Linked DNA regions of Oreochromis niloticus. The protein of the gene in region 1 interacts with the protein of each later gene in a pairwise test. Links are inferred from orthologs where the notes say so. Each region holds a gene or a part of one and is shown in the gene's direction. Other genes may lie near its edges. The genes, in order: pnrc2, esrrga and dcp1a.

Region 1 (10,721 bases):
GCTGCTGGCACCCGCTCCACGGGTCAGAGACCTTGGACATCGCGAATGTCAAGGGTTTATGATCGATGTACGCGGTGAAACTCCGACCCTCTAGAAAAAAACGAAAATGCCGGGTCGCGAGGTGCAGGGCCAGCAACTCCCTGTCAAAAACGCTATATTTGCGCTCACTGTCCCTAAGCGTGCGACTGAAAAAGGCAAGCGGTTGCCAGACACCGGAGACCCGCTGCTCCAACACTGCGCCCACCGCCACGTCCGACGCGTCGGTGGTCAACGCAATCTCCGCCGACGGAAACGGGTGGGCCAGCAGGGCGGCGTTTGCCAGCGCGGCCTTGGCCTCAGAAAATGCCTGGATGCGTTCAGGGAGCCAGTCAATCGGGTCCTTAGCAGTTTTACCCTTCAAAGCAGCATAGAGAGGCTGCAGCAGGTGCGCAGCTCTGGGGAGAAAGCGGTTGTAGAAATTGACCATCCCCAAGAACTCCTGCAGCGCTTTAACGGACGCGGGACGCGGAAAAGCCGAAACGGCCCGGACCTTGTCCGGCAACGGAACCACACCGTCAGCGGAAATGCGGTGGCCCAAGAAATCCAGAACCGGCAAGCCGAACTGGCACTTGAAGGGGTTGACGATCAGGCCATGTGCCGCCAAGCGCTGGAAAACCTGACGCAAATATGTGCTGACTCTCAGAACAGCTGGCCACCAATATATCGTCAAGGTACACGAAGACGAAAGGCAGCCCGGGCAAGACAGAGTCCATCAACCGCTGAAAAGTCTGGGCGGCGCCTTTCAGGCCGAACGGCATGCGCAAAAATTCAAACAGGCCGAAAGGGGTAATAACGGCAGTTTTTGGGACGTCTTCGGCGCGCACGGGAACCTGGTGATACCCCCGCACCAAGTCAATTTTAGAAAAAATCGAGGTGCCGGCGAGGTGGGCGGAAAAATCCTGTATGTGGGGAATGGGGTAACGGTCGTTCTCCGTGACATTATTCAAACGGCGAAAATCCCCACACGGCCGCCACCGACCGTCGGACTTGGGCACCATGTGTAGCGGAGAGGCCCAGGCACTATTCGAGCGCTGCACAATGCCGAGGCGCTCCATAGCGGCAAACTCTTCCCGAGCGACGGAGAGTTTCGCGGGGTCGAGGCGGCGCGCGCGTTCGAACACCGGGGGACCGACCGTCGGAATATAATGTTCAACCCCGTGCTTCGTTGCCGTGTTTGAGAAATTAGGAACAGTCAGTGAAGGGAACTCAGAGAGCAAACGCTGAAAAACATTCCCAGAAGTCACCAAATTAGCCCGATTCAGGGGCTCGATGGCGCGAGTGAAACAGGGCACTGAAGAAAAAGACTGGGCGTCGATTAAGCGTCTGTTAGCGACATCGACCAGCAGTCCGTGGGCACAAAGAAAATCAGCGCCCAAAATAGGTACAGAGCTAGCGGCAACAACAAAGGTCCATTGGAAATCCCGACCATGAAAACAAACAGTCACGAACCTTTCCCCGAACGTTGCGATGGGAGAGCCATTAGCCGCAATAAGCTGCGGTCCGCAGCCCGCTGCTAAACTGTCGGCGCGGACGGGGGAAGGAGGCTCTTCTGGGAGCCGGAGTCGACCAGGAAACGTCTCCCGGAGCGCGAGTCTTCTATGAAGAGCAGTTTTTCTTTGTCGCCAGCGGTCGCGGCCGCTACAGCGCGCTGTCGGGGCCCGTGTCCCAGGGTCGGAAAAGCACAAGGCAGCAAGCAGCGGCGCGCTCTGGGGCCAAAACGCTGATGGTAGAAACAGCGGTCCCGTCCGCGGTGTCGCTGTGCCGCGACCTTTGCCGCCAGCGAAGGAGCGGACACGTCGGGGCAGGTCAGCTGGGAAGTAGAAGGCGCCGCCGGCGAGGCTGGAACTAGGTCGTGATCGTGGAAAGCGCGGGTAGCCAAGAGAATACGATCCGCGTCCTCAGCCAGGGAGCGATAATCCTTCGTGCCCAGAAGCGGAGAGTTGGCGAGGCCGGCTCTCACGGCCGCCGGCAGCTGTCGGAGGAAGATGTGGGCGAACAGGAATCCCCCGTCGTCCGGACCGAGAAAGGACAGCATGCGCTCCATCAGTTCGAGAGCCGTACCGCCACCCAGGCCTGAGAGGGAGAGGAGCTTCTCGGCTCGCTCTGCGTCGGAGAGGGCATAGCGCCGAAGAAGCAGCTCCTTAAGGGCGGCGTACTTCCCTCGGGCGGGTGGGTCCCGGAGGAGAGTCAAGGGCGAACTGAGCCTCCACGTGCACGAACCACGACGGGGGATCGTGAAGCCAAAAGTCCGGCAGCTCGAGCGGCACAGCAAACGCAGCTGCAGCCGGAGGCAGAGGGCTGGCGGCTGCTGATGCATCCAGAGCGGAGTCGGTGCCACCATCGGACTGCAGCATGTTCGAGTCAGGGGTCACCAATGTGGAGGTAAACACAGACGACACGAGAGCTCTCGATTAACACTCCTCGTTTATTCCTCATCACAACACAACTGAACACTTTTCCCTCCAAAACATAGCAACAACACTTCCTGAGAACTGGGTGTGAGTGGAACCCTCCAGTGGTCCACCACAGTGACATATTTTGATTGTGCAGAAAGTCTGAGACGTTTGTACAGACATGCCTGTGATATTGCAGACCAGGTGTTTATGGATTCATTTATGAATTAATTCACATATAGGGAGGTATTTTCCCTAAAACACAAGATGATAAGATGACAAAATAACCTTATAGAAAAAATTCTAGTTTAACAATCCAGTTTATCCATTCATGGTTGCTTTCATGGTTATTTACATAAATGAAAAGATTTTAACCATAAGTTGATGCAGAAAATTCAAATTATTGCATGAAAACCTGCACTTGGTGTCCCTGCCCCCCAAAAAGTAAAATGAAACCTATACCCGTGATTGCAAGGAAGTCATTAATAATTCAGAAATCATGCACTGCTATTTCTGGTGTGGTGATGCCAGCATTAGTCGAAATAAATAAGGAGTTAAATGTATTTGTACATTTAAACAGCTTGTTAGATTCATAAAGCTGTGAAATAAAAGTGAACTGAGCCTTTGCTCATGTAATGACGGAAAGCGGGAAACCTGAGAGATGTTGTTGAAAACTGCCATTATTTCTCATCTGTTTTGTAAATCAGTGGTTTGTTAAATGCCACATCTTTTAAAAATACATTTGCTAAATGTACTACTAAAATAAAGGGAAACGTGTTGAGGCGTTTTTATCATTGGGTTATTATAAAATGGCTTGAAAGCTTCAAATCTTCAAACTTAGCGAGTCAAACAACCATGCGCTGTAGTGTGCAAAGATGATAGAAAATAGTTCTGTCGACTATACGGCAACAATAATTTTTTCATTTGAAAAGTATTTTTTCCTGTTTGGTTTCAGTGGTTCATACAATATGCTCTGTGGGCATTTTTCACAGAAAACCGTCTGTGGTTAGTACATCTTCAAAAAAAAAAGTGTTATGTGAGTGTACCAACTTCATCTGCACACTCTGGTCCCGTAAAAAGTTAATAACTAAATAAATCTTAAATAACAATAGGGAAGAGAAGGACCTCCAATTTAGTGTGTCTGTCTTACCCAAACCCACTTATAGATCTATTTCACCATGGGTTTCATTTTAATATTTAAATTCTGTAAATTATGTGTTACTTTTATAGCGTATTAAGTTTCTTTGCTAAGTAACTAATGTACAAAAATGGTACTTCCAGTAAAAAAAGGTTTCATTTGAATATATTTACTGAGAGTACAGGCTGTCTTTATATGTATTGAACTTATTCCTGAGCTGTGTGAAACTGCTTCTGTACTTTCCCCACTTCCCTTTGCGTGGGCATATGACAAACATTTTGCACCATTCTAGTTCATATTCATAACTCCAGTCACTTGTTTGTAGGCCAACAGGATGCCGTAAATGATAAGGCCAAAGATAATCCGTAATTTTGTTCTTTTTCTCTGTGTGAGGAAAAAAGTTTCCATCCAACTTTCCAATTCGAATGTACACTATCTGTGTGACGTGTTGACACTGCTTGGCTTCTGCAGCCAGTCAAATATGGCGAGTAGTCCTTTCCACCCCCCCATGTGTTTCTAGCGACCTACAGCGGTCTCTGAGTGACCTACTTTCCTTACATAGCTGACTCTTGATTGGCACACCATTTCAGAGATTTCTTGCTTTGGGGAGTGTCCTGCCTTGCCATGGCCTTCAGCCTTCAGCAGCGTTGTGCAACTCTTTAAAAATCCAGGCGAGAAAAGAAGGCAAGGCTTCAATGACACAGACATTACTTAACCCCTTAGCCCTGCGTGCACTCATAAAACCTACTGGAAGACTTTGCCCATGGAAGTCAAAGTCCTTTGAAAAGATTGGGAGGAAAAGTGAGACCAAAATCAAAGGGACAAACTGAGGGTAATATACGTAATATAGGCCCCCAACCCTTTTTAAGACCCCCACCCAATGAATTTAAATAAAACAAAACAATTTGGGGATGGGCAACCGCTCATAGACATTGTTATTACAGCCTGTTGCTGCTGTGTCAAGTTGGCATAAAAGGGGTTAACCTGAAAAAGCAAGAAATGTGATACAACCAAACCAAAACAGTTTCCTGTAGCACAAACGGTGCTTCAGTAAATCTAAACACTGGACGTGTTTACAACCTAACCGAAGGGGTGGCGGACATGGCTTGGTGTCTTGGTGTTACATAACACTTAACTGCCTCTATGCTCACTCTAAACCTTTATGTAATGTTTTACGTGACATCTGGGGCATTTCCTATCTATTACGTTAACTTCTAGAGCCCGAAAGTGGTATTTTTTCCTTCTTTATTTCACTTCTCTCAGGAAATACCCGAGCTCCAACAAAGGCAAGGAGAGGAGGGTCGGCGATTGACGTCACCAGTCTGGCAACAGGCAACTTGCCGCCTGCCTCTTCGGTGATTGGTTGTTTATTTCGTAGTCGCTTTGTGATTGGTTAGATTTGCGTTGCAAGGGAGTACATACCGCTGCTGTAGATTCCATTTTGTCGCAATTCCGAGTCGGGAGAGGGAGAAGTGAGATCTCTTCACCGGCCTTTAACACCAAATAAGCTTCGAGGGTGACGGATTTGTAGGAGATATAGCTTGCTGTGCTTCCTACATAGTCCGTAGAGGGAGTTTAGAAGCTAACTGTAAATTCTTTTCTGACGAAAGGCTTTAACAACCAAGCCTGAAGAAGTCGGTAAGAAACAGTTTTGTACCTCGTCGCCATATTAAACCGAGTTTCTTTGTTTTGGTTCTGTGCCAAAGTAGAGCGTCCTAGATCATAAAAAAAACGTTAGAATTTTAACCAGTGGATTTGCTAATTAATTCAATGATCTTTTATGAAGGGTATAAATACTATTTCGTTTTATTATTAAGTTACTACACAAGAACAAGGGAAAAATTGGTCGCAGTTTAAGCCCAGCCTGAGCAAACAGAAGTGGGCTATGATGTCGCACTTTTCTTACATAACATTTTCGTGTGCTAATCGCTATAGTTTACAAGTTATATGCAGTGTTTTTATAAATGTAATGGCGAGGAAATGTCATTTTGTCGGTACTCTAATGTTATGTAATAGAATATTTGAAGAAAACGTCAGTTCCCTGTCACACGTCACAACACCGTGAGCGCTATTGTTATGTTGAGTCCTCTCTATTTAGCATATCTAATGGACGTTAAGTCCTGTCAAGTTAGCATATCTGATAAGCGTTTTTTTGTTAATGCCCTGAAGGGTCGGCGACTTCTTGGAGAATCGTGCGCCGAGGTGAATTGATGTTCAGCTCGGCTTCACGAGAAAACAACGCTTATTGGCACATGAAAACCTCAGACCCTGCTGGACACAAATGTGCAGCGAGAGGTAGACAGAAGACTACTTCGAGGACCTGGGGCCCGATTGGAGGAGAAAGATTGAAGAGAGACGTCTACTCGGTTAACTTTTTGACAACAAAGAGGTGAGCTGGCGCTGTTTTTCTTGTGTCCGTGTGGGGGATGGGCGAGCCTCGCTGTCTGGTGTTTCTGCACGTAGTCTCTGTACTTGTTTTTATTGTGATGTGGTGCGCCTGTGCTCGCGGTTGGTAGCCAACAACTTACGCTGTAGTTGCATACATTATTAGCGTGAATGGAAATGTATAACCAGAGTTTATTTTTAATAATACTATTCTCACAATTTAGGTGACACGTAGAGCAAAAGCAGTATGGGAGGTGGAGAGAGGTACAACATTCCAGTTACCCACCCTGAACGCCCTTTGGCCAAGAAGAACCACCAGCTTGGCCGTGCAAAGCAGCGAAGCCGTGACCAGAACGGAGCAGCTGCATCCGTAGGGGGGCCAGGGGGCCTTCACCACCATGGCCACCGACGGAGCGAGAAAGGCGCTGCCTACCACAGGTCTCCAGAGACACGGCAGGCCGTGTCTGCAGAGAAGAATGCTTCTGTCCGTTTTTCCACCAACTATGATCAGAACTGGGAGGGTGCAGTGTCTCATCTCAACACACTCCTGGCAACCCAAGGCAGCCCAAGCTATGCAGGGCCTAAATTCAGTGAGCCACCTTCACCCAGTGTTTTGCCCAAACCCCCTAGTCACTGGGTGTCTTTCCCTATAGGCTCCTGTGACAACAGGGAGGTTATGACCTTCCAGCTCAAGAGCCTCCTGAAGGTGCAGGCCTGATGGGGGTGATACCAGTTCTTCATTTAAAGAAAAAAATAAGCCAATGCATGGACCCACCCACCAGGAACGCCTCAGTTCTGTAGTATTTTTAGCTCTTTTCTTTTTCTCTCCTTTTTTGGCTGACCTTCAAAGTTGGTGGATGCTTGACAGGAGCAATGTTTTGCAATTCCTGTTTACCATCCATTTAAAAAAAACTGATCATTTAAAATTTACAGAATTGCAGCCTTTCTGGTCGGTGATGCCTTTAGTGGAGTTTCTGTGACTATGACAAACTGGATATTCTTTGTACTTATGTTTTGTTTTGCTATTTTTAATCTTGGCTGCCAAGGCAGATTGAGTGTGCTTTTTTCCCCAAACAAGGATGGTAACATTAGTCAGGTAAATTCCCATCACTTTTACGGTCCACTTCTTTGGACAGACGTGGTGTTTCATTTATGTTTCTATGAAGAATGATCTTTGGAGTTATCTCCTTAAGCTTTAGGTGCTAAAGCAGGTTCATATTTGTAGCAATTTTATTTTTTTTTAATCAAGGGCCCACTGTTGTTTATATATCACATTCATTGTTTGGCTAAAGAAGGCACTCAACTGCAGTTCTGCAGGGAAAAAAGATATTTTACAGGAGATGAGCTGTAGTGTAACTACAGGTTAATGGTATAACCTCAAACGAAGGGTAGTAAGAGACCATGGCACACTGGCTTTGGACCACCGACTCACGTACCCTTTTTTATTGCGCTGTGCGCACATGCACTTGGAGTTGAGTGTGTCCAAGGTCTACAGCACTCTTATCATAGCATTATTTTGTATAAGTGCTTTCTGTTGTGGTTGTTGAAAGATGTATAATGTGCTGTGTATAACCAAAGCAATGTTTTGCTTTTCTTTTTTTGGACATTTGGGCGGATGGCAGTGTTGCCATTTTCACTTGCCAACTCGAGGTGAATGGTTTGACGTCTCCTTGATCACCTGTTCATCTGTTCTGATCAGTACCGTTACTGCTCCTCAGTCTGCCTCTTAAGGACAGTGCCTGCAGCTCAACATGCGGAAGGGGGCCTTGCTTAAATGTGGGACTACTGAGTTTCGTTTTCTCAGAAAAAACCCCACATTGCCTGGTCCTGTTGGCTGTATGCTTTTGTGCACAAGGCGAGACAGAGCTGAGGAACATTTCTGAAGCGGCCTAAGCGCCTCAACGTGAGACAGGAGGCTGGTGTTTGTGTTTACAAATAAGCCTCAATGGTTAACTACCCCATAATCAACAGACACTTGCTGCCCGTTGTCTCTTGCACTTCTGTCCCTTAACCTTCTGCACTGCAATCAGACTGTTTTCTTTTTTTCATAAGTTACAGGCCAGGATGCTGTTCAATTAACGGAGGCGTAATTGACTATCTTCTATGGATTCTCTTTCAGTTCTCTGTTGAGGCTCTTTGCTTTCCCTTTGCAGAATTGGAGCCATTTTTGGCCAGCTTAAAGATGACAAAACAAAGTATGAAAGCTTGTTAGTGAGTTCAAGAGCCATGTAAATAATGAACTGTATAAAACACTTGTAGCATATGTACAGTTGCAGACCAAGTTTGTGGCCTGTTTGACAAAAGTATTTTTAGTAATAACACTGAATGTATGAGACATGCTAAGGTCATGTCTTGACTTCAATACTGAAGAATATTTTTGTTAAAAAAAAAAAAGCTGCCTATAGCATCTATCAGTACCCCTACACTCTGATCTTTCCAGAGCTATTGCACATTTTTTTATTGTGTATTGTGCAGTGTAGGTTTAAAGATGCTACATGGGAAAAACAAGTAAAATAGAAAAAAAAACTCAATTGGACTCTAGGAGACTTGCATATGTATAGATTTGAGTTGTGAATGTGCTTACAATGGTGTGTAAGCATAGCACTTTTTTATTATTATTTTTTTTTTTTTAACAAAACAGAAAAACTTTGTGCCTAAGTTAAAACTCATTCTGAAACTGACCATAATCATTGGTGGAAATTCCCAAGTTGACCAAATATTTTCCAGACATTTTCGGTTCTCGGCTGTTCTTCCGCCTGCTGACAATTGAAAATGTCTATTATTCTTTTCTTGGTTCATGTAAACTTTTTTTTATTTTCCTGCCCAGACTAAATCATACATGGCAGTCTCCATATTCAAAATTGAAATCTTTCAGTGAATTGGCTTTTTAATTTGTCCCTCGGATGAAATGTCACCAAGAACAATGAAATGTGCCCTGTTTACGATTGGTGTTAATTTGTTACAAAATGTAAAACAAGAAAGCACTCTTTGAATTGATGAAAAACTTGAACGAAAAAAGAAGAAAAAACTAAAACAAAAAATTAAATCCCCTCCCCTACCCCCCTACTTTGTGTTTTGAGTATTTTTGACTTGATATAGTAACACTTGTTTGACACTACCTTTACAACACAGCTTATTCAACTAGAGCAGTGTAAGAATGTATTTATTGACAAAAGATATCAGGTATAACAGTTTAAACAAGGGAGTTTCTTAGGGACACGAAAAACAATTGATTCTTATCTTTAGTATATTATTACATAACAAAATGACTCTATTATTGGGTACCAGCTGTATCAGCATATCTTTCATTGTCACAGCAATCACAATAACTATAGTATACAAGTTGGCCTGCTGAAATTAAACCAGACATTTAAGACTAGGGCATGTTGTGAATAATGGCAAAACAGGCCTTCAGTTTAATTTAACACATGTATCAAAAGAAAGAAAAAAAAAAAACAAAGGGCAGGAGCCAAATGTGCTTTCCTTACAGACATAACAAAATTGTTTATTTACCTTTGGCAAAAGATTCCTCCGTATTCAAATAAGAAATGAAAGCAGGAAGCACAAGACTCCTTTCACACATGCACACCTTTCTATAAATACAACCTTTTAACATGTCTACTTGCACCCTGGTCTCTTCATAAAGGTCATAACAGCAGTTCTTAACAGAGTTGGACCTTGAAGCATTCAACTTTGAGTGCATGCAGTTGCATTTATAGATAGTGACGCACAAAATCACTGCATGAGTTCCATAGCTCACTACAGTAGTAGCTTATATCCAATCATTTAAAAACAAAAAAACAAAAAACAAATTTACAATAACTTCAAAGTACTCTTATGTTACATACTTTCCCAACCAGAAGCTAGCCTTCTCTCTCTGTGTGGGAGGGAATTGGTGCAGTTCTCAGCAGCAAACGCAAAACTCTTAGTAATAAAAGCAACAATGGCAGAGGGAACCAAATGTTATACACACTAGAGTCAATACTGATAATGCTTGTAGCTACAAAAGCAAAAATCTTGTGCACACATACTGTGGTTCTCCTGTCACTGCTGCTTGTACGTCTGGGGAAAAACAAACAAACAAAAAAAACCTGGGAGGAACGTAACAGAACATTATTAACCAGTTAATTAATCATGAACCAGATTAATGAAGCCAACAATGTTAAGTAATGCATGTCCAAAAATGGCTAGAGGTGAACATTAAACAGAACCCTCTAGAAAAACATAAACAGAGGGCTCTGGAGAACAGTCTGTCAGTGGCCTCCAGACTTGCGTCCAGCCCAGGACCTGGAGCGAGAGCGTGACCGGGACATGGATCTAGAGTAGGAGCGTGATGGGGATCTCCTGACAGACTGTTTCTGGGATGGGTGGAAGTCTTCGGCAGGGCTGTGAGACCTGGACTGGCTCTTTTTACCTTTTGGTCTTGATCTGGACGCTGACGGGGAGCGGGAGGTGGAGTGTGAGGCTGTTTCATGGTGCGTTCTGTGGTGGTCACTGGGAGGAGCTTTGTGCCTATTGGGATTATCATTACAGTTACTATTATTACAGAGTACAGTGCCATGTTTATATGATTACTGAAATACAAGAGGACAGAAATGAGCCTACTTGTTATTTTCATGGCTTCTGCTTCGTCTGTGTCGGCTGTAGGATCGAGAGCTGTAGAGAGAACAAGGAAACAAAATTGTTGAGTTACTGTACAGTTTGAGTGAATTACTTTATATCCTTACAGCATGGCTTGTCTATATACAAGCAGTATATGGCTTCCT
Region 2 (10,721 bases), on another chromosome or scaffold:
TCTTCATTGCTCCCTGCCTTTAGCTCTCTCTCTGGGTTCAGGTTGGAGGAGCAGGCAGGGGTCTTTGTTCAAATTGTCCATATCCACACTGTGTTCTGCTGTACCTGCTGACAAAGCTATCAGATAACTTAGCTCCATCTCCCCTGATCCTGTTGGTGGTGTAGCTTTGTATTATGTGTGTGTTTTTGAGAGATGGTGTTCTTTTATGTATTTTTGTTTATTTTTGTTGGCTTTCACAATGAATGATATTGTGACTTAATCTTGCATATTTTTAGTTACATTCCTACAAACAGCCATGGACACACGAGTTGTGAGTCTTTGTGCTGCTGTTGGCTGTAAACTGACCAGAGTCCATAGCTCCCTCTGTTGGCTTGAAGTGAAGTGCAATTTCTTACTCTCACTCTCTCCGTCTGCCTCACCCCCTCTTTTCTACAAAAGCAAAGTTCAGTAATGTGTGAAATTTCCAAATTGCTTCATTTCACTTTTGGTACAGCTTAGCTTTTTAGTCCTCATTTTAACATTAAAATGTCAAATGTTTGTCCTGCTCGTAGTACTTACTTAAACCTACCTTAAATGCGTAAATGTTTATAAAAAAAAGGAAATGTTCTTTAATTATCAAGAACAAATGCTCTGTTTTATTATTGTTGAAAGTACTTTGTTTGCAGTTGTTGCCTCAGTCTAGTACTTTGTTCATGACTGGCACATGTGTCGATGGGTGGCCTGGGGTCAGCTTCCTAAGTGGCCGCGTCTTGAATTTGTTAAAGATTGTTTTGACCAGCAAAGACACACATACAACCGCTCACAATACAGGGCTCTGAATGAACTTGCTGTGGCCTATTGAGTAGTGTGATTGATGTCAGCGAGAGTTGCAATGGATAATTCTTCCATAGATGTCAACAGGCTGCCACCGCAGGGTCAAAACACACACACCCACACACAGATTTACACACACTGGCAGACAAGAGAAGAATGAGATGCCAGCAGTTACAGAGCTCAATAGGTTTTACATTGTAAATGAACTTTTAAAATGATGCCAGCAAGGCCATTTACACATGCATACAATTATTAATTATGATAAAATGCTATTTTTACACTGTGCTTTGACTGAGTTGCATATTTTTTGTTTTTATGTTGTTATTTGCAGTTATATTTCTGCAGCATTGTGCATGGAAATATTGTCTGTTACCCAGCAGTCACATATGCACACATCGTGGATGCTCAAGGTCTCTCCTTGGCTTTTTGAGTTAAAGGTTTGCATTTAAGATGTTTATGGTTTGTCCAGTTATAGAGAAAAGTGGCCTAAAGGGGTCACTGTCAACATACACACACTGACTGAGAGTCAATCAATAGTCTATGGGGGTGGGGAGGATAGGGGTCAGAGAAGGAAAAGAGGAGTGAGGCAGAAAGACAGAAAAAGTAACGGCTGTTATGTGTGTGCACTGGTTGATGGATTTTAAGGAATACAGCTCTGTTTGTGGCGTTGTGTGCATGACATGATGTTATTGTCTCACCATAACATTTTTTTCTGTATTTACATAAAAGGCAAAGCTTTGTAAGGCATCACTCACCACACATGCACAGTGAAAGCTGATTCTTAGACTGCGTTCTTATGTTTTACCACATTGCTGCTTGTGCTTAAATTATCAGTCAGTAGAAATCACTTTCAACACAAACTGCATAAATTAAAGAATCATTGAATATTTTGTAACATAAACTAACTAAAAATTACGCCTCCATAAACGCAACCAGTTCATCTTAGACAAATATTAATGATTTCTGTGTGCGTCAAAACACTGTTCTTCAAATATTTATATAGCCATTCGTTGATATGTTACAACCCACAGACGTTTAGGCTTCTAATTGTTTAATTCAATGTATGATTTGTAGTTCTTATTTTAAATAAATGTGTTAGGCAGAACATTTTGGACTTTCTGCACTGAAACAGAGATTGTGTGTGTGTGTGTGTGTGTGTGTGTGTGTGTGTGTGTGTGTGTGTGTGTGTACTTGTGTATGCACGAGTGTGTTAGACACTGAGGTTTTGGTAAAGGATTTGTTTGCACAGTAGTGACGGCAGCATTGATTCACACTCATCTTTGTCGATGCTTATAAGCCTCTGGATACATCATAACTGTGTGTATGTTTGTATGCCTGCATGTGTATGTGTGTACACAAACCTAACAGCTATATATCTGTAAAGACATGTATTTGAATTCCTATCCTTCTGTGTAAATGGCAAAGGTACATCTGTGCAAGTAGTCTGTGACAATGAGTGTGTTTGTTTTCGTATGTGGTCTCTGGATCTTTACTTTGTCGGCTTCCGAAACAACTTCTAAATATGTATTTATTCTTGTAAAGACCCTGATTGTGCCCATGTGAAGGCAGTTAAGCTCAGTTTCACAGGGTCTTTCAGCACCACAATGTCAAAAAATTCTCCACGTCACACACATGTATTAAGCTATAATCATATTACCTTTAAAATGGCATTTAACTGAACAGTACTATGGCTAACAGGTACTGAGTTCTCCATGCAGCTAGAGTAAGAGTTAGAGCTAGAGTGCTTTATCAGCAAAACCAATACACATATCCTACGCTACACTAAGAAGAATATGAAGAATATTTAGTGCGCTAACCTCAATGTTTTAGTAACAGTTTTTCTGTTAAGCAGTTGAAATGTTGAACATTGGACTCTGTGTTTGTCAAAGAAAAACAGGGAAAGAAAAGGCAGCAGTTACACACACATACACACACATGTACATCAAAGCTGAGATTGGTTTCAGGAAATATTTTATTATCTGTACTATTCCAAAGCTGCTAATCACAACCACTCTCTTTCATCTTTGCACCACCCCCCCCACCCCCAACAACACCACCACCACCTCCACCTCCTCCACCCCCTCCGATTCCATTCTCTGTCTCCCTCTATACTCCACACTTCTCTCTCCCCCGCCATCCCATGTGCAGGGGTACCCAAGTGTTGAAAAAGTCTAATCAAAAGGAGGAAGACGTTAGTTAAAAAGAAAGGAAAGAGGACAGAAAGAGTGCGTGTATCATTCAGAGTGTCCCTACAGGGTTCCGATTTTTCCCCTTTTTACAAGGCCCTTCCCGCTCTCCTTGCATTCCCTTTTCTCTTTTCCGCTGTCTCCTCCTTGCTCTAAAACTGAGAAGCGGTGAGCTAATTTTTCCTGGAGAATCCCAGTCGCAGTACCTATGCTCACATTCCAAGGTGCTCGGAAATACTGGGAATACACAGCCTCCTGGTATAGAGATGAAAGTGAACTTGACAAAACAGCAAGCAGCAGGGAAAACCTTGTTCCAATCATGCCCAAATCATTCCACAACAAAGGACAAGCGCTCTGGAATTGCTATAATCTCATATTTTACTGCTGGGCCGCGATGGGTTCTGCTGCGCTGTGCCTGTGTGTTTACGGTGTGACACAGTATTCAGGCTTTGGGTTCATGGTCAAGCATACACTTGTTTATTTGATCTTGCATTTCTCTGGATTTGATTAGGTCAGTTTTGTGTTTTCCATTTGAGCACAAATCAATATTGGGGTCCTTAAAAGATCCTAATAACATGGTGTTACTCATGTGGTTCAGACCTTATTTGAAAGGATTTTGGTTAAAACTTTTTTTTACATTGTTAGAAATAAATATATTGTCAGTTTTTAATATTGCAGTTTATGTGAGAATGTAATTTTACCAATGCAGGTACATGCAGAGAGCAGGAGTGAGCAGGAGTGACCAGGGTAGTGAGAGACCAGTGAAGAAAGGTCAGAAAGATGGATTGATAAAGAGAGAAAGAAATACAGTAAAAAGGAGAGCAGGTTGTCTTGCTTTAAACCTTTCTCGCACCTGTCTCGTTCTCCTCTCTGCTTCCTCCTTTCCTTCCTGATTCCCTCATTCTCTCTTTTCCTCCGTGCTCTTTGTCTGATCCCTCCCTCTCCACCTGCTCTTCTCCCTCTCTCTCGCTCTCCCATATTTTCTCCACCCCTTTCTCCGCCCCTCCCTGCAGCTATTGGTGAAGCACCCACCAATCACAGCACAACTGGGACCTGAGGGACTACATATGCAAAATGCTGCTTAATATTCATGAGCCGCTATCGGGGCTTTAAGTCGTTGATTAGGACAGCAGCACAGCTTTCTGTCCCAACTGCCTGACTAGCTGGCTGTGTGTGTGCCTATAGCCCCCTCTCTCTCACTCTCACATACACACTGCATACACATGCTCCCTCACTTCTACGCACACACGCAGAGCTGATCAGTCCAGGCAGCGCAGAGCCCGGTAATTGTATTGCTCACTCCAAGTGGAAGGAAGGACCGAAAGAGAAGAAGATCAGAGAAAGAAGAGAAAAGAAGAGAGAGGAGAGATATAAAAAAAAAACTTCCATTTTTTTTTTTGTGTTTAATTTCTTGCCATTTACCCTGAGGAGGTTGACATGACAATGACCCGGTATCGCCGATGGATTCGGTAGGACACCCGTTATCCGAGTGTTTTTTAATGCACTCTGAACAAGAGTAGGTAAATTTTACCTTTTACTCTTATCCTTTTATTGATCATCCAACTTGTCATTGCCATTGTCTTCCACTGTAAGTGACTGTGTGAGTCAGTGAGTGAGTGTATGTGCTGGTATGCAGCGGAGGTGGCCGGCACCGTGTCAAGGTTGTTTCTGCTGTCAGGTAGCACGCGTTCACTCTTGTCTTTGTGTGTGTGTGTGTGTGTGTGTGTGTGTGTGTGTGTGGCTGCAGTATCCGGACAGCAGCTCTTACTTAGTGGGCAGAGGAGCAAAATTTCTGTCCCTTCACCTGAAAGTGAGACATACGCACAAACACACCTGCCTGCAAACACACATTGTTTACTCCATTTTCACTTTCGCTGTTTTCAACAACCACTTTACTTGAAGTCAGACTGTTCTTGGGACAAACTTTCTCACTACATGTCTGCATGCGTGTACCTGTGCATGTGTTTATGCTTATGCATGTGTGGTTTAAGTATGTGTTCATCCGAGCAGAGAATCCGCGAGATAACAGGGCATTAAGGTTACAGGAGCAACGTGTAGGAAAGGGCCCATAAGAGAGGAGGGAGAGAGAAAAGGGGGAGAGCTGCGCTCTTAAATGCCAGAGGAGGTAGAATTTCAGACGGGCAGCTCAGCGTGTGGCCCCGCTCAGGAATTAGAGACAGTCACACACACTCTCTCTCACACTCACACACACACACACACAAACACACGAGTGCTGCTGAGCTGCTCCTTTCGCCAATGCTTTGCTCTTTTAGATGTATGTGCAAAATGCAGATTAAGTGATTGGCAGAGTGGACAGCAGTTTGCTTGATTAGATTATTGTGTGCACAATTATTTAAAAAACAAAATTTGAGCCAACAAACAAATGATTAAAGCATAGCAGTATTTGCTTAATTCTTTTCTTAAACAGGACAAGATAAAAACATTCCTCCGACACTGTGCGTGTGTGATTCAGTAGCCGAACAGACCTTTTTTGTCTGTATGTATAAAATTATTGGCATTCATCTTTTCGAATTTGAAAAGCTCATAAATGAAGCAAAGATTTTATGGTCATATATATATCTATAAATATATATGTATAGATTTAAAACACATGCTTAGATTAAACCCATTTCCACTTAGAACTAAATTTGAATGAGTGACACTAAATCAAAGCCACAGTTTAAGTGTTTTTTTACGGTAGAGAGTCGGAAGTGGGAAAGCTGAAAGAACAAAGTCAGAGCAGAAGCTCATGCAAAATGTTGTACTGTAATATTTCCCAAAATGGTATTCGTAACATTTTTGATGGAAATAGGCAATTTTTCATTTGCTTTCAGTCTTTCTAATCATTTGTGTTTTAAAGCACACATGCCCCACTCACTCGTAAAGCATGTTGAATATAGAGGCATTTTTAAAAGAATAAACGGAGATAAACTGTACCACTACTTTACATTAAAATATTATTTTATTATATTTTTAATTTAAAAATTTGTCTTTTAACTTTCAGTCTGTTTGAATTAAAATGTCATTTAAGCAAATATGAGAAATTGCCCCTTCTGAGCAAGTAAATGCTTAAAGAGCACAAATTAAAATGTATGTGCAGGATTTTTTTAAATGATTATTTTATTATCGTTGCGGTATGACCAATCAAGCTTTTAGAGAGTCTGAGAATATCAGTCATTTCAGTTCCCTTTTTAGAGGGAATAACTGAATTTCCAGCAAAGCAAAATCTGAAGGTTTTAACCCTGTGGATTGCATCTGAACAAGCTTTCTCTACGTTGGTCCTTCAACTGCAAAACAGTGGGGTGGATTTTAAGGACCTGTAACGGCTCAGGTGTAAGAGTCTTGATTTTTTTTGTTTTTGTTTTTTCAGAATAAGACAAAGAATTCAAATTTTTCAAAAACTTCTGAACTGGATTTGCTCCTTAGTGGACAAGAAGTGTGAAAAGTGTGTTTAGACATCAAGCATCAATATGCTCACTGAAAAACACACTTTCCTGATAGACATATAGCATGAGATGTCTCTGCTTTACCTGCGTGTGATTCAGCAAGTGTACGTAAGCTGTTGCCACTCAAACGTTTTCTAGAGAGCCCTCTGGTCCCGTCATCTGTCCGTCCGCTCCTTCACACATCCATTCATCCATCCATCGATCCATCCATCCACCGTTCTCTGTTCTCGGCTCAGGCTTTCCCTTCTTTGCTCTAAGGCACTGCTTTCCTATACTAATTAAAATATTAGGGATAATGATGATCATACTGATAATAATAACAACAAGTACCACTTAAGCTGTTAACATAATTGCATTCCCCTCATGCCACCATATACATAACATTTGCATATCATTAAAATATATTTCCCACAGTGACTTTAGTGATTTTGGTGTTTTTAACAGTGGGTGTGAGGGAGAACGGACGGGTGGTGAGAACTGCACAGTGGCCGATCAGTCAGGCAAAGGTTTTGTAGTGCAGTAATGAAGAGAAGCACAAGGGAGCACAAATGATTTGATTAGGAATTATTCTCCAATCTGATGTGTCTGGATTTAATTCTTTTTAAATACATGAAAATGTAGACGAAAGAAATTATTTGTGATTGTGAGTAAAAAAAAATAAAAATAAAAATCTGTTTCAGGTTAAACATTGTTGAAGTAGTTCATCAGACTAAATTTAGATGTGACAGAAAAACAAACTTTTTTTTTTACTTACACTAGTATATATAATATAATTCAGGCATCAAATTTTCACACGTAATGTCGTGTTGCTTCTTGTTCTGCTGCGACAAATGCCACTGTTTTAGTTCACGTTTGGAAAAGTGCATTGGCCATCATACAGAGATGTACTTTTCCTGATTTCCTAATATGGCAAACTACTTTATATGAAACTGAGAAAGAAATTCAATTGAGAAAAAATCTAACTCGAAGGCCAACCGTCTGACGCTTTGACCGTTTGTTGTTTAAATGTGCGACAGCAAAATATACATATGTTTAGTTATTCAGAATAAAGAGAAAATATGGCTTGCTTTTGATTAGACAATAAAGAGCATTTAATGGTTTTTTCCCATCTTTTTCTTTTCCTTAATCTTAGTCGCTGGACCTTATTTTTCAGCCTATAAAGGGGGATATGCAGCAAAGAGAGAGAGAGAGAAAGAGAGGTAAAGCTGACTGGAGGGAGGGACAGGGGGACCAAAGAGAGATTGCGTAAATTAAAATCCTTTTAATCTCCTTATAAAATCATTTACTTAATTCATCTGTCAAAGCATGTCAATATGTGCCGTGCTGATTTGCTGGCTGCGCGCGCGCGTGTGTGTCTGTGAGTGTGTGAGCGTGCAATTTGCATCTGTTTGTTGCCATCCGTGGTTTCGTGCCTGCATGCTCCCATTTTGTATGTGTGACCTATTGATGGCCTATATGAGGAAGTGTTGTTCTTTTTGTCTCTTTGCCCGCCTGTCTGTCCCTATGGAATTTGTTGTCTGTCAGTTTTTTTGCATTTGCCTGCAAACTCACGCGCAGAGAAACACACGCACTCGTGCTTACGGCGGCCTCGCTCTCATGTGAAGGGTCCGGGCATTCCAGTGGTAATTTGGTCCCGTAAAGAGACAGAGAGAGGTAGAGAGTGTGAGAAAGAGAGAGAGAGAGAGAGAGAGAGACGCAATGAGAGAGACAGACAGAGCGAAGTGGGAAGGAAGGGAGGGGGTTTGCTTTTGTCTGACACCAGCACCCAGGAGGTCCGCTGGACACACGTGTAAGCATGAATGCCCACAGCAACGCACACTCTTAACACTAATGCATAACAATAAACACAGGTTTTACCATTTGCAGGTTAAAGTTATCAAAATTTTAAAAATGCAGTCGCTTATTCTTACACACACACACATGCATCTACATATGTGGATGCAGATATTAAAAATGCATTGTCTCACACACACTTAGAAAGCCACTGAGAGATGACAGAGCAAAATGGGATGAGCCTTGATGATGTGAATTTGTCTGATTTATGTCCAATCCATCAGTGCTCTGTGTGTGTGAGAGTATGTCACGGGTCAGTGCCGGCCTTTATGTGTTGAAAGAGCAGTAAGGGAGACTGTACCAGATGTGACACACACACACACACACACACACGAACACACACTGCAATTAGCCATTTCACCACATTGGTGGTGAATCTGTGTGTGTGTGTGTGTGTGTGTGTGTGTGTGTGAATGCACGGTTGAATGCCAAAGCGGTGATCAAAAAAAGAGAGAGAGAGAGAGTGATATATAGTGAGAGGCAGTGTCGCTCATCTTATCTCCTCTTCTCCTCTCCACAGTGCTCATCCTCTCATTCCCCACATTCCATCATCCATACATCTCCGTCATCCATACATCAAAATGTGAATTCAATTATTATTACTATTATCACATTCTATCAAATCATTTATGCTCCGTCTGAGAATTACTCTCCGTAATGCTGCTGACTTTTCTGTCTTTTCAAATCTGCTACGACCAAGTATATAGTTTAAAGAAATGCAGAATAAAAAGAGAATGTTCTGCACCTGTGCAAATTTGAACTGTGTCAAAAGCACACAGGTCCCTTTGTAGATCCGTCTGTTTGATTTTAACAAACATTGCTTTAAACTAAATTACGTTTTATTAGAATTGCTATATACATTGTGGGGTTTCTTTGGTGTGTGTGTTATTGTTTTCAGAAAAGGAGTCACTAAATTTGAATTTTATCAACTTCAACTAGATGAGCTATTGAGTTACGCTTTAGATCCGGTGACTGGTGTATGCATGAGTGTGTGCGTACCCATCGTGTTGTGCTTAGGGCTTCTAATGCTGCTCCTCAGTCCTAATAGGAGGAGACAGCGCAGACCGGGCCACAATAGAGCAGATTTAGATGGAGAGGTGAGGTGTGTGTATGTCTCTATGTGTGTGTGTGTAAAGTGTAAAAGTGTGTCCATGAGTTAAAGAGGATCACGAGAATGGTGAAGGTTCAAACCCCTTGTCTGTCTTTGGCACTTTTCTGTTGTGCTGCCCATGGGAGAGCCCTATGGTTTCGCTGCTTGGGTTGTTCTCTCCCTCTGCACGGCCAAGCTGAGAGTATGATTAAATTGTCATTGTTTCGACAGTGTGTAAGAGGGGTTCAAAAAGACAAAAAAGGGAAGATACAGTAGAACGGGAAAGGGATAGCTACTAAGAGAGAGAGAAAGAAATGAATGACCATGCCGCCTTCCGACTGACAGTGAAATATTCCTCCTCTCATCCTCCCATCATGCTTCATGTGTGTGCCTGATGGGGAGAGAATGACAGACCAGCCCACACCCCACCTCATGGTTTAGTTCTCTAGTTTTTTGCTGCTTTTTTCATCTGCCTTGCACTCTTTTTCTTTCACTCTTTCTATCTCCTGTCTGTGCACTTGGTTTCTCTCTGTGGCAACTTTATCAGCTGCACCATACAAATAAACTACAATCACATGACGATTTTCAGAAGTATTTGTTCTTCCCAAATGGACTGTATATTCAGATATTATGCTGCTCAACAAAAGTGTATATTCTTTGAATCAGGGAATTTTGATTTCAAGTTATTAGACAAGATTTTACACTGAAGACTGAATACTGAAGAAAGGTTTGTTACACTTTCTTGCTTCCTGCCCCGAACGTATTAATTTCATTAATTAAGTTTACTCCACCCGCTTCATTATACACAAAAAATGAAACGTACATAACAACATATATATGTATATTTACCTCATTATTCACAGCTTTGGGTGTTTTTGTGAAAAGGAAAATGTCTCTAACAAATATGTTGATCACACAAAGTAACTCATTTATTTTTTTAATTTTATTTAAGAAAAAAAACAAGCCCAACAGCATCAGTCCTCGTTGGTCCCTCTAACTGTACCAACGGTTCAGCTTTGACACACATCCGTACATGTGTGAGAAGATGCCACGTGTTAATATACAGTTCATTATTTTGCACATGTAAAAACAAGAAAACTATGTGTGTTATTAAGGCCTTGTTTCTGTGCGTGTGTGTGTGAGAGAGAGACAGTGAGTGAGAGCGCATTTGTGTGTATTAACTGCGTTTACGCTTTCACACAATAGTTAAATTGTATTTGACATTGTAAAAACTTTCACTTTTAGTTTGATGTAGGTTAAATAAAATAGTTCATATACGTTTATTGCTTTTTCCAAAATATCACTCTATTTAAAAAAAACATTTTCATAGTTTCATCGCTGGCAACTTTAGAA
Region 3 (10,721 bases), on another chromosome or scaffold:
GATATATATATATATATATATATATATATATATATATTTGGCTGGGTCCCGATATATCAGCTGCCATATGTCTCTGATATATTGGCTATGTTAGCTATTAGTCCATATATTGGCAGAGGCATTACTATATAATGGCTGATAAATTCAAAGTGTAAGAGTGAACAAGCGATGGGAAAAATACCCTTCAGCCATGTTATTAGTCTGGATGTTGCATTTTTTGCCCACCAGAAAGCACTCTGCATTTTCACTGTTGGCAAAGTGATGGAAGTCTACAAATTCAACGATCAGCTGGTCACATAAAGGTGTAATCCACAACCTGCTGTGACAATAAAATGAGATTACTTTTAAACAATATTGTCATGATAGGACTCATAAATAATACCCATAGTCTTGGTCTTAAAAATCAGTCAGTCTTTAAAGTGCTTTTCAAACAAGGACATCAACATGCTTTCCCTATGAATGAGGCGACTGAAGATAACTGCTAGAATTTCACTTCAGCTTTTTGCAAAAGTCTATTAGGATCCTAAGGGCAGTGGACATACATATATAATGTCGACAACATTATCACTACTTCACATTTAAACTTGCCTTGTACAATTACTTGTTGAACATGCAATTAACTGTCCTCTAAGAACCCATCCAGAGATAAAATGGGCAGAAAAATAAGAAGAAGTGATTATGGTGATTATAATTATGGTGATGACGGGCTTGAAAGGAGCCCAGAAAAGACAGCTATAGAAAGAGAAAGCAGAACAGCCTGCATGAATGGGAGAGACAGAGAGCGTCATTAAAATCAATGCAGACCATGAGCTAAAAAGACAGTGCCCTTGACACAGTCGCACACTGCAACTCTATAGCACAGTCACATCGGGGAGTGTTGTCAGCTATAGACTGACCGTGTCATCCAGCAAAAACAGCTCCAACACACAACTAAGCAAATAAAGAAAAAGAAAGAAAAAAAATGAGAAATCTATTTGTGTGGGTCATGTGCAATATGAGAGAGAGGCACAAAATCTGAGAAGAATAAAGCTTTTCTTTTAAAAGGTAATGATTACACAAAGTTGGTTCCTTTATCAGATTTCAGGCAAGCTACTTAATTTTATTACTTTTCATCAATATTCTGGGCTCGTCTGTGCAAAATCATAGTCACCATGACTCGACGCTCACGGTGTAGTCAAAACATGATAGTTTATTATGCGGGGAAGTCTATCCGAAACATCACTTCACTTTAATTGCGCTTGATGTCAGCGCGATCGCAGGTGAGAGGTGCATTCAAAACATTTCATCACCACCCCTTCTCATACAGCGATACACCACCACCACAGGTGCAGCAGAACAAGTGCACGCTGCTAGTTAATAATAGTCACAGCCTGTCCGACATGTAAAAGGAATTAACCCAGCGCTTCTGTTGGATGTCGCACATCTGTCACAAGATGCTGGAAAACAGCTGTTGACTATGTTGCTGTGGTCGAGTTTTGCTGCTTTTGTTTGGACAGCTTTTAAACTCTAAAAGAAAAACTTAGAAGAGAAGGAATTTACTTAAAAAGTTCATTTAGCGTCTCGCAGCTTGTTCTGGAGAGCGAATATATTCAAAGCACCCTGTCACATGGTTTCAGAATGACCGTTATAGTCAACCATTTTTCGGAGAACTAGCCTCAACTCGCTTCCCAGTGGATCTGAGAACTGATGTTATCACAATAATGTAGCCTACAAGCGCTTACAGTGTTAATACACAATCCCTGCACTGGAATAAGTTGGGGAGGGAAAAAAACATGTCAGCAGCAGCCACGACTCAAAGCATATAATCACACGGATTAATCAGAAATCCAGAGAATAAACCGAACGAGCGCTCTCGCCCCCTCTCCCTCTCTCTCTGCTGCGCTCCAACTCTCCTCCTGCGCTTCCACACGCACGTTTTTGGGGTTTTTTTTTTTTTTTTTACCTTCAGACTGTTCATCTGCTTCTTGCATCCTCGAATCCACATCGAAAAGATCCGTTTTAAATCCAACTCATCGTTGGAAAAACCGTCCGAAGGTGTCGAAGGCGCGAAACCTGAACAGAGCCTTTAACCTGAATCATAAAATGTTTTCCGAGCGCAGACCCTGAGAGGAGCGCCAAACATTTTCGCCACATCCGGGTGCCTGCCTGCAGATTCACGGCGTATCCGAGAGGACGCGCTGGCAGGGGCAGTCAATCCACTGCTGTCAATTATCCTCTCTGTGGCTGGGGACGGACTGACACAAGTTGGAGCAATCGCGTGGGCTCCACTGTGCTGAAATCACGCGCGCCCACCAACTGGAAATGCACCTGTTGCCGCCTATTGGGAAACTTGCAAAGAGCGAATGCGATCATCTCAACGTAAACATTAAAATGTTTTTAACTCTAGACGCCAGATGTTGCTTTAAAAAGAACCCTCTAAAAACAAAACAGCTGACTGGAGAATAAAGTCGTGCGATGACATCAGAGAGCAATGAAGACAGGGAGAAATCAGTATATCCATCTCACTATATATATTGTATGATCCTAAATTAAAAACTGTTGCAAGGCTGCAATTAAAGGTCGTTTAAAGTACAACCGTGTACCTCGGACTGTCTCTACTTTAAAACTATCCACGGGTCTCAAAACCTCCGAATCTGTTTATTCTTTACGATTCGGTTCAGCGCTGTGATGAAGGTCATGAGACACGTGACTACGCAAAAGAAACCAGTCGGAACAGTGAACAATCTGCTAGAAACAAATGGTGACAACTATACTTTCCCTTAAGAGGGAAATTTCTGTATTTGAGGATGAACACCATGTCCGTATCCTATCCTATCCATCTGAAGAGTTAAACGCTCGGACTTACCCCTCAGGGGTCTTGCCCTTATGATGAACGGCATTAGATCACCTGGCTCTTCTCGGGGGCCTCATTGCGCTTTTTTCTGTCCTCTCTCCGCGAAGATTCGAGAGGAAATGGGATGTTAGAGCGGTGCTGGAAGGTTACCCGTGATTGGATTACCTGAGCCTGCGGGATAAAGTTTCACGGTGGCGCGTAATCCCCAGATTATAATCCTGCTCCACTGTTCCATAAACTGCAGGTGAGGGAGGCAGCTGCAGCTCGGTCCGGACGGCAATCCTGCACAATCCCACTATGCATGCAATGGGTTTAAAGTATTATGTCCAAATAATTACAATAAGCACAAAGAGGTCACGCCAGGACACAGGGGCGTTTTAACTTTTCACTATCAGTCTGCCATTTCGAATAAAGTTCGGAATTAACGTGACTATAGATGAGTGCGATTTCAAATAAAGAACATAAACTAAAGAAGACATAAAGTGTTACAGAGGTTCAGAATTAAAACACACAGCTATAAATATCGTTTTTCTTTAACAGGTTTTCCTCAAATAGGTTTTACTATTTGGAAATTATATCCTATCCTAAATATCTAATCATGCCACGATTATCATGAGTTATTATTATTGTTGTTGTTATTATTATTATTATTATTATTATTATTATTATTATTATTGTTGTTGTTGTTGTTGTCGTTGTTTGATCGACTTTGAAGCTCAAAAGAGTCACCAGATTTTTTTTTCGTACAAACATTTTGTATTTAAGCTCTAGCTAAATGCGACTGACCAGAATTACAGTTCGAATTAATATGCGGAATAAATCAGTGCCTCGGAAACTTTTTTAAAGAGCCGTGGTTTCCGGGGACATCGGAAGTTATATGTGTCTGCTGAATTCCGTCCGTGCGGGAGCAACAATCATATCCAAGATGGAGACCGTAAATGCTGGACATATGATGAGCTTAGCTGCTCTACAGAGGCACGATCCATACATAAACAAATTGCTCGATGTTACCGGCCAGGTGGCTCTCTATAACTTTAACTCCAAGGCGAATGAGTGGGTAAGTTTGTAAGTAACGTACAGAGTTTTGCAGAAAGCCGTCAAAGCTAGCTAAGTATTTGACTTAGCATGCTAGCTATTCTGTATAAACAAAAAATACAAAGAAATTTGATCATATTTGTGGAAGTGAACTTTATTCGGGTAATGCTTACACACGTTGTGTTTTGCCACCACTGTCATTTTGATAATTGTTTTATTTAATTTTTTTTAAATGCCAATAAGCGTAATCTTTTATGCGCTAGCTATAGTTGGGCTAACAGCGTCCTTTGCTATTATTCAGCATGTTTATAGTTTCTGACTCATACCTTCACTTTTTTGTTTTACAGGAGAAGACTGAAATCGAGGGCACCCTGTTTGTTTATGCAAGGTAAGCACGTGAGGTTTTTATAGTAATGTAACGCGTTGACCGCGAGGGCTTGTTTACTTGTTCTTACGTTTCACGCGCTGTCATTTGACGTGTTCTACGCACGTGTGCAGGCCTCAGTCTTTGTAAACAAACACGAATTAGATTACGTGTGATTTTTATTCGCTCACAGAACGAAAATTGCAGCCTGTTTAAATAGGAAATTAATAAGTAAAAGTTTTAGTAAATTAATTCCACTTGAAGTGTAAAGACTTGTTTGATAAACAGCTTTAATGCGCATCGTTGTTTTGAGGGCTGTTCACGTATTCATTTGAAAATAACGAAATGTTAGCAACCGATTTAATTGGTTATTGATTAATATGAATATCTTTCATAGAATTGAGAATTATGTAATTCTCTGAAATTCTCATTTACAAAATGTATATAGTAAACGAGAATCCTACAACCTACCTCCAAGCCTGAGGCCATGGTTCTCAGCTGGAAAAGGGTGGAGTGCTCCCTCCAGGTATGGGATCTTGTACACAATTGAGGGGAGAGGGGAGCGTGAAATTGATGGACTGATCGGGGTTTACAGATTCGCGGTGGTAAAGAAAGAGCAGAGTCCAAAAGGGAAACTTTCAATCTTACATCCCTACCTTCAGCCATCCGTGGCAGTTTAGGTGACCACATGGCCAGAGAGCAGCAGCCAGGGTTTGACCCCCCCCCGCACACACTCACTCACTCACTCTCTCACACACACACACCGCTTTCCTGTCTGTCTTCGTTGTTCTGTCTGTCAGGCAAAAATGCCCCCCAAAAAATAAATAAATAAAATGAAATGGCAAATCCAAGCAGCTGAAATGAGTTTTATCTAAAAGGTGGCTGGCCTGTCCCTTAGAGATAGGATGAGAAGTTCAGTTATTCACAAGGGACTCAGAGTTGAGCTGCTACTCCTCCACATTGAAAACTAGGCAACTACGGTGTTCTGGTCATGTGCTACCAGAATGAGGCCATGGAGTAAGCTCAGGATGCCAAGAACAGTACAGTACAAAACCGGTACTATGTCCAGCAATGACCTGCCACAGGACCTGAAAGATGCATGTGGTCTTTCAATTGATCCATGCACTGTTTACTGTAGTGTCATCAGAAATGATCTCACTGAAAGGGTGGCTATCAAGAAGCCACTCTAAAGAAACAAAAATGGGATGAAAAGGCCAAACTGATCTGAAAATCAGTGAACTTTTTTTTTTTTAGATGTGCTAATTCTTTGTCATAAAAAATCATTCATGGATGACTAAAACTAATCGACATAGAGAGATGTTTTATCAGTGAGGTGATGTTTTATGTTTTTTGTCCCTGAAAGGTCTGCTTCCCCTCACCATGGCTTCACCATCATGAATCGACTGAGCACGGAGAACCTTGTAGAACCAATCAATAAAGACCTGGAGTTTCAGCTACAGGATCCATTCTTGCTCTACAGAAATGGCAACTGTGAGTGTTTTGTAGTCCAGTTACACAGAAACAGCAGATGTCATGTACAGGAGATACATATTTCTGTGTATGCTTGGACTGAAATCGGATGTGCTGCAGTACTTCACAGCTTCTCGAAGTTTGAGGGAACAAAAAAGACCACTATCCCAGAATATCAGCCAATGTTTCTCAGCTACATAATATTTCTCTAGTACAATGTTTCTTCCATAATATTGTGCTGTATCACAAAAGGTAGTGTCGAAGAGAAACACATACCATAGCTTTGAAAGGCTCTGCTTTAGACAAAAAGAGATGATAATTTACAAGAAAAATTACACGTTAACTGAAAAAAGTAAATATCCAAACAGACAGTAAACTTTCGACCTTTCTCTAAATGTTACTGCACTCTTAGTTTTTATTTCATGAACTTAAAAAAATGAAAAATGTTGTGTTCAAAGAATTTCTGCATTTCTCTACCTGTAGATTTTGTTTTAAGTTTGTTTGCTGTATTGGTTTTATTTAATTTTTCCTGCTCAAACGCAATAATGCCAGAACACATTAGTACCTTTGAAAATGCTGGACAGACACCTCCCCAGTGTTCTCTGGAACAGCTCTTCTCCCTTTTGCTTGAAGTCCTTCTTGTATCTTGGAGAATCAAGGAGGAAGACCTTGTCATTCATGGCCTCAGACTGGTCTGTCAAACCACACAGTATTCAGCTTGGTTTGGCCACAGTTTTCATTCTGTATTGGGCCAACAAACAAAAAGACTTTGGGTTCTAAGGGGTGAATTAGGCTTCTACTATATAAATATTTTTATGTGCGTTGCAGTTTTTCCTGATGACTTATTCCAGTGAAATCGTCTAGCGTTATGAAGAGAGTTTAGCAGGGAGTAGGATCAGATGAAAAGGCTTGAAATAAATCCTCAAATCCTCAGAAAGTAACTGACAGTGCTCCCACCGAGGTAATCTATCAAAAGTCTGAACAGAAGTTTCATTAAGGCAATGAACAAGGAGTTGGATTGTTTTCCCATTTGTTTGCTAATGAGAAAAAATAACATGGCCAGGCTCAGCGTCAGAGTGGACTGCTCCCCTTTAGGACTCGGCTTGCCTATCAGCCTGCCTGGTATGGAAGACATGATGTAATTTTTTTTTGTTGGTATCCGAGTCGGAACAGCTTTTCCAGGTGCTTCACAGGAGTCCGAGTGCTGCTGTTTTCATTTTAATTCCTCAAAGTGTGTTGAGTTGCAGGCAGATAAAGTGGTTGACGGTATTCCTCAGTCTGTGAAGATGCTCGTCTGACAGCTGATGGTCACTGTAAGGCGGGTCAGAGTAAACAGTCTTTGATCATTTGTTCCACATGAAGGTTTGCACTGCCCAATTGATCTTTTCAGTAAGATAAGTTACAGGCTGAGGAGCCTTTGTTTGTTCTCTGCCTGAAGTCTGTTTTGCTGTTTGTGATTGCTCTCCAGGTAGAGTTCAGGTTTGTGAGAGAAAGTGAGAGCAGGATGTAGATGATGCTCCTGAGACTCCTCTCTCCAATTAAAAATAATGAAGGCTGATATTGCTGAAAGATGTTTGTTTGAAGAGCATAGAGTCGAACACAGAGAGGATGGATTCTTCAGAGGGATGTTAATGCTGCTCCAAGTGTGTTTGAAATCTCTTTCAAACACATCTGCAGACTGATGCGTGCGCTCAAAGTTTCAGATGTCTGTCTTGGTGAGGTGTGTACTTGGACTCGTGCATACACCTGTTTACAACACTTTGTGTTCCCGTTGGTAGCAGGGGATGCTCCAGGGAGGCAAGCGCTTGGGTTGCTAGGTTACCTCAGGCTTTAGAGGGAACTTGAATACACCAGTGTTTCATCACATAGACACATACAAAGCACGAGCAGCTTCATATAAAATTGTTGTTTTTCATCAGAAACTGCAAATGTGCAGTTTGCTTGTTTTCCAGTTGGTGTCGGTGAATGCTGTGTTAGCTCGCTAAAAATGAACTTCTCCTTTTTGTATTTGATTGTTTTGTAACTTCACTGCTTTGAACTGTCAGATTCTCATTGATCCTAAGGTCCACTAATGTGCAGTCATGTACAGTGCTCATTTAGTGTTGTTTTCAGTGTTTTCTTTGATGGCTCAATTACATTAAGTCACAAAGCTGACTAAATTAATGGTTTTAAAAAAAAACACATAGTTATTTTAGCTGTATTTATGAAGGTTTGGGTTTGTTTTAAAGAGTTTTGTATAAACTGATGTCTGCTGTCAGTGTTATTAAATGCATTTTATGTGTCTGTTTTTAACAGTGGGTATCTATAGTATTTGGTTCTATGACAAGAAGGATTGTCAACGCATCGCTCAGCTCATGGTCAAGTAAGTAACCGGACATTTGATGGATGAAGTGGATGAAATTGGGCAAGGCTTTACTTTTGTCAGTTTTTTCCACTTATCAAGTTTGATTTGTATTTCCACAATGAATTACCATGTGTACTTTCTAGAAATGTGGAGGTCTGTTATGTTCACTAAATGCAGGGTTTAAAGAACTCGGCATATAAGATGCCATGAAGTTGATGCAGTGTAAGGAGTTTTCAATACAGAATAATTCAAATTAAACAGAAATATAGGAGCCCCATGAAAAGCAAATGAGACCATGAACCAACAAAGCAGCGGGATGTAAGATTCAGGCTTCACCTTAAAAGTAAGGCTGCCATCTCCATCTTGCGAGGTAAAAGGAGCAGTCACGTCACTCCCAAGTTGACTACGGTGCAGTAAAAGGAAACAAATCTGTTGGTCCACTTAGGAAATCTGTTGATTTGTGCCAGTATTGTGCTCTTGTGAAGCAAAGATGCAGTTTGTGAAGGCCAGGATTGTCTAGTTCATATTTTGGTTTTCATTGCATGGTTTGTATAAGTTGAGTAATTTCACTTAAAAAAACAAAGTAAGGTTGTTTAGTAAATTAGCTCTGACCCCAACATGATCAGTACTTAGTATCTGACTAAACAAACAACAGTTGTGTGTGCAGGCTATATGTCATGCTTTAACTCTGTGCCAGGATTGTGAAACAAGAAGCAGACCATGCCCAGAAAAAGTCACCTGAGAGGGCAGAGCCGGGGAGAACCAATGGAGTCGCAGAACCCCGCAGCATCGATATCTTGGAGCTGCTCAGCAAAGCCAAGGAAGAATACCAGAGGGTGAGGTGGCAAACAGACAGTTAACGTAGCATCTGACTTATGTTATCACACGAGTATGATCACATGATGTATAACTATAGTGTATGACAGAATTTGAGCCATAATTTGTAGAAAATTTTGAAAACAAAAACAAACTTGTGTGAATATCCATATAAGTTACTACAGTGGTACATAACCTTGGTCTGTTTCAGGTGTGGAGTTGTCAGTTTAAGATGGAGAGATCAGTTCAATATAATCTAATGTTTTTATGTTTGTGCAATAATTGCAGTCCCAAGCAGGTGAAACAGATGTGTCCATTGAACAGACTGCAAAAGCAGCTGTCAGCACTACAGATCCCCACACCGCACCGCAGCCTGAAAAGGTACAACACACATACAAAGCAATGATTTGAGCTCCAATTTTCGTTTCTCTTTAAATGTTTAAAGCTTTGTCATTCTTGTCACTCCTACACATAGAAAGTGTGGAGGAGGACAGTTAGAAGGGGCAGGTTTTTATCCTTGTCACTCCATACATAGTTAGCATTTGGCAGCAGAGAATGCTGCAAGGAACATTGCAAACAGACGCCCAAATACGTGCCTTCAATTTATGTCACAGCCATCAGTGCTGCTTGGGTTTTCTGCAGGGTTTGCATGCGGGGCTAAGATGAACTGAACAGTTTGGGGCAATCAATGTTAACTAAATGGAAAGGGAAATGGGCCATGTTGTGAATCAATCATATACCAGTATTATATTAGATATATTGTAGCCCGTGTTTCCTGATACATTTCTAAGATATTTATCACAAACAGTGGAGCTGTGTCATCTCCATGTTTACCAGGTCTAAGGATTGTAATTTTTACAGAAAAGTCTTCTTTTCATCCGATTAGTCACTTTTTTGTTTTTGCATTAAAATCCCAATAGTTACCAAAAAAAGCCCCCCCTTACACTGTTTGCTGTTTGCAAAGCTCAACGATGACGACAGCTTAAAAACAGCTAAAATGGCTCCAGCTGATTAGCAACGGCAAAACAAAACTTGCAGCCAACTATGTTGTCAAAATATGATAATCATATAGCTTCCAACAAACTTTCATAATCTTACTTATTAAACAACCTGAGTGATTAATACATGATCAAAATAGTTTTTGATTAGTTTTCTGTTATTTGATTTTTTGGAGCTCCGCAGTATTTGAGATCATTGTTTCTTTACCCAGCAGAGCTCTCACCACGTGGTAAAGCAGATCACAGTGGAGGAGCTCTTTGGTTCGTCTCTCCCTAAGGATCCCTCTCTACCAACTATGCCCACGCAGAGCACCACCGTTTCCAGTGACCCCTCCGCTGCCTACGTCCACAAACAACCGTATCCTGCTCCACCTCCACAAAGCACTCTCCTCATTCGCCAACATGCAGCCCAAGACCCGGGTTCCAACCAAAGGAATCAAGCCCCCGGTCTGCTCCCTGCTCCATATGCATTACACCCAAGTCCTGTATTCCAGTCAGTGATCCAAAGGTCAGACCCCCAGCACTCCTCGGTGTCCCCACTCATAGTGCCTTCAGCTGCTCCCCCTGGTACCGCAGGACCTCCAACTGCTCAAACATCCTATATGGGTCAGGACATCCTTGCCACACTCAAACCGGCAGCACCTTCTGTAAATTCAGATCACCACAAACCCATCCTCGCACCTAACTTCCTGCCAAGCACATTGGTCCCACCCCATAGCTTCCGAGAGCCTATGGGAAAACCCCTTCTCCAACACGGAAAGGACATGGATGTTTTCTCTCAGTCTCCAAATCTGATTAAACCAATATCTGTGAGTTCAGCTAATTTTTTTTATTTTTCTGGTAAATTTGAATCCAGTATGT

What was found.
Region 2: the proteins of pnrc2 (region 1) and esrrga interact in binary tests that used the Homo sapiens proteins (3 or more experiments, as listed by UniProt). The link is inferred for Oreochromis niloticus from reciprocal best matches to the Homo sapiens genes PNRC2 and ESRRG.
Region 3: the proteins of pnrc2 (region 1) and dcp1a interact in binary tests that used the Homo sapiens proteins (3 or more experiments, as listed by UniProt). The link is inferred for Oreochromis niloticus from reciprocal best matches to the Homo sapiens genes PNRC2 and DCP1A.

What each region holds. Positions count from the first base shown.
Region 1 is NC_031976.2:27,487,414-27,498,134, forward strand, and holds pnrc2 (proline-rich nuclear receptor coactivator 2), read left to right. Parts: upstream 1-4,999; 5' UTR 5,000-5,208; intron 5,209-5,739; 5' UTR 5,740-5,959; intron 5,960-6,179; 5' UTR 6,180-6,202; coding exon 6,203-6,673; 3' UTR 6,674-8,176; downstream 8,177-10,721. Other genes in the region: srsf10a (serine/arginine-rich splicing factor 10), read right to left, coding at 10,209-10,467, 10,561-10,611. UniProt on the Homo sapiens protein: Involved in nonsense-mediated mRNA decay (NMD) by acting as a bridge between the mRNA decapping complex and the NMD machinery. May act by targeting the NMD machinery to the P-body and recruiting the decapping machinery to aberrant mRNAs.
Region 2 is NC_031965.2:26,536,677-26,547,397, reverse strand, and holds the start of esrrga (estrogen-related receptor gamma a), read left to right. Parts: upstream 1-4,134; 5' UTR 4,135-4,459; coding exon 4,460-4,515; exon of another isoform or gene 4,516-4,519; intron 4,520-10,721. UniProt on the Homo sapiens protein: Orphan receptor that acts as a transcription activator in the absence of bound ligand. Binds specifically to an estrogen response element and activates reporter genes controlled by estrogen response elements.
Region 3 is NC_031984.2:24,732,230-24,742,950, reverse strand, and holds the start of dcp1a (mRNA-decapping enzyme 1A), read left to right. Parts: upstream 1-3,707; 5' UTR 3,708-3,710; coding exon 3,711-3,890; intron 3,891-4,215; coding exon 4,216-4,256; intron 4,257-5,595; coding exon 5,596-5,723; intron 5,724-7,997; coding exon 7,998-8,064; intron 8,065-8,743; coding exon 8,744-8,882; intron 8,883-9,150; coding exon 9,151-9,243; intron 9,244-10,072; coding exon 10,073-10,669; intron 10,670-10,721. Other genes in the region: cacna1db (voltage-dependent L-type calcium channel subunit alpha-1D), read right to left, coding at 1,943-1,970. UniProt on the Homo sapiens protein: Necessary for the degradation of mRNAs, both in normal mRNA turnover and in nonsense-mediated mRNA decay. Removes the 7-methyl guanine cap structure from mRNA molecules, yielding a 5'-phosphorylated mRNA fragment and 7m-GDP.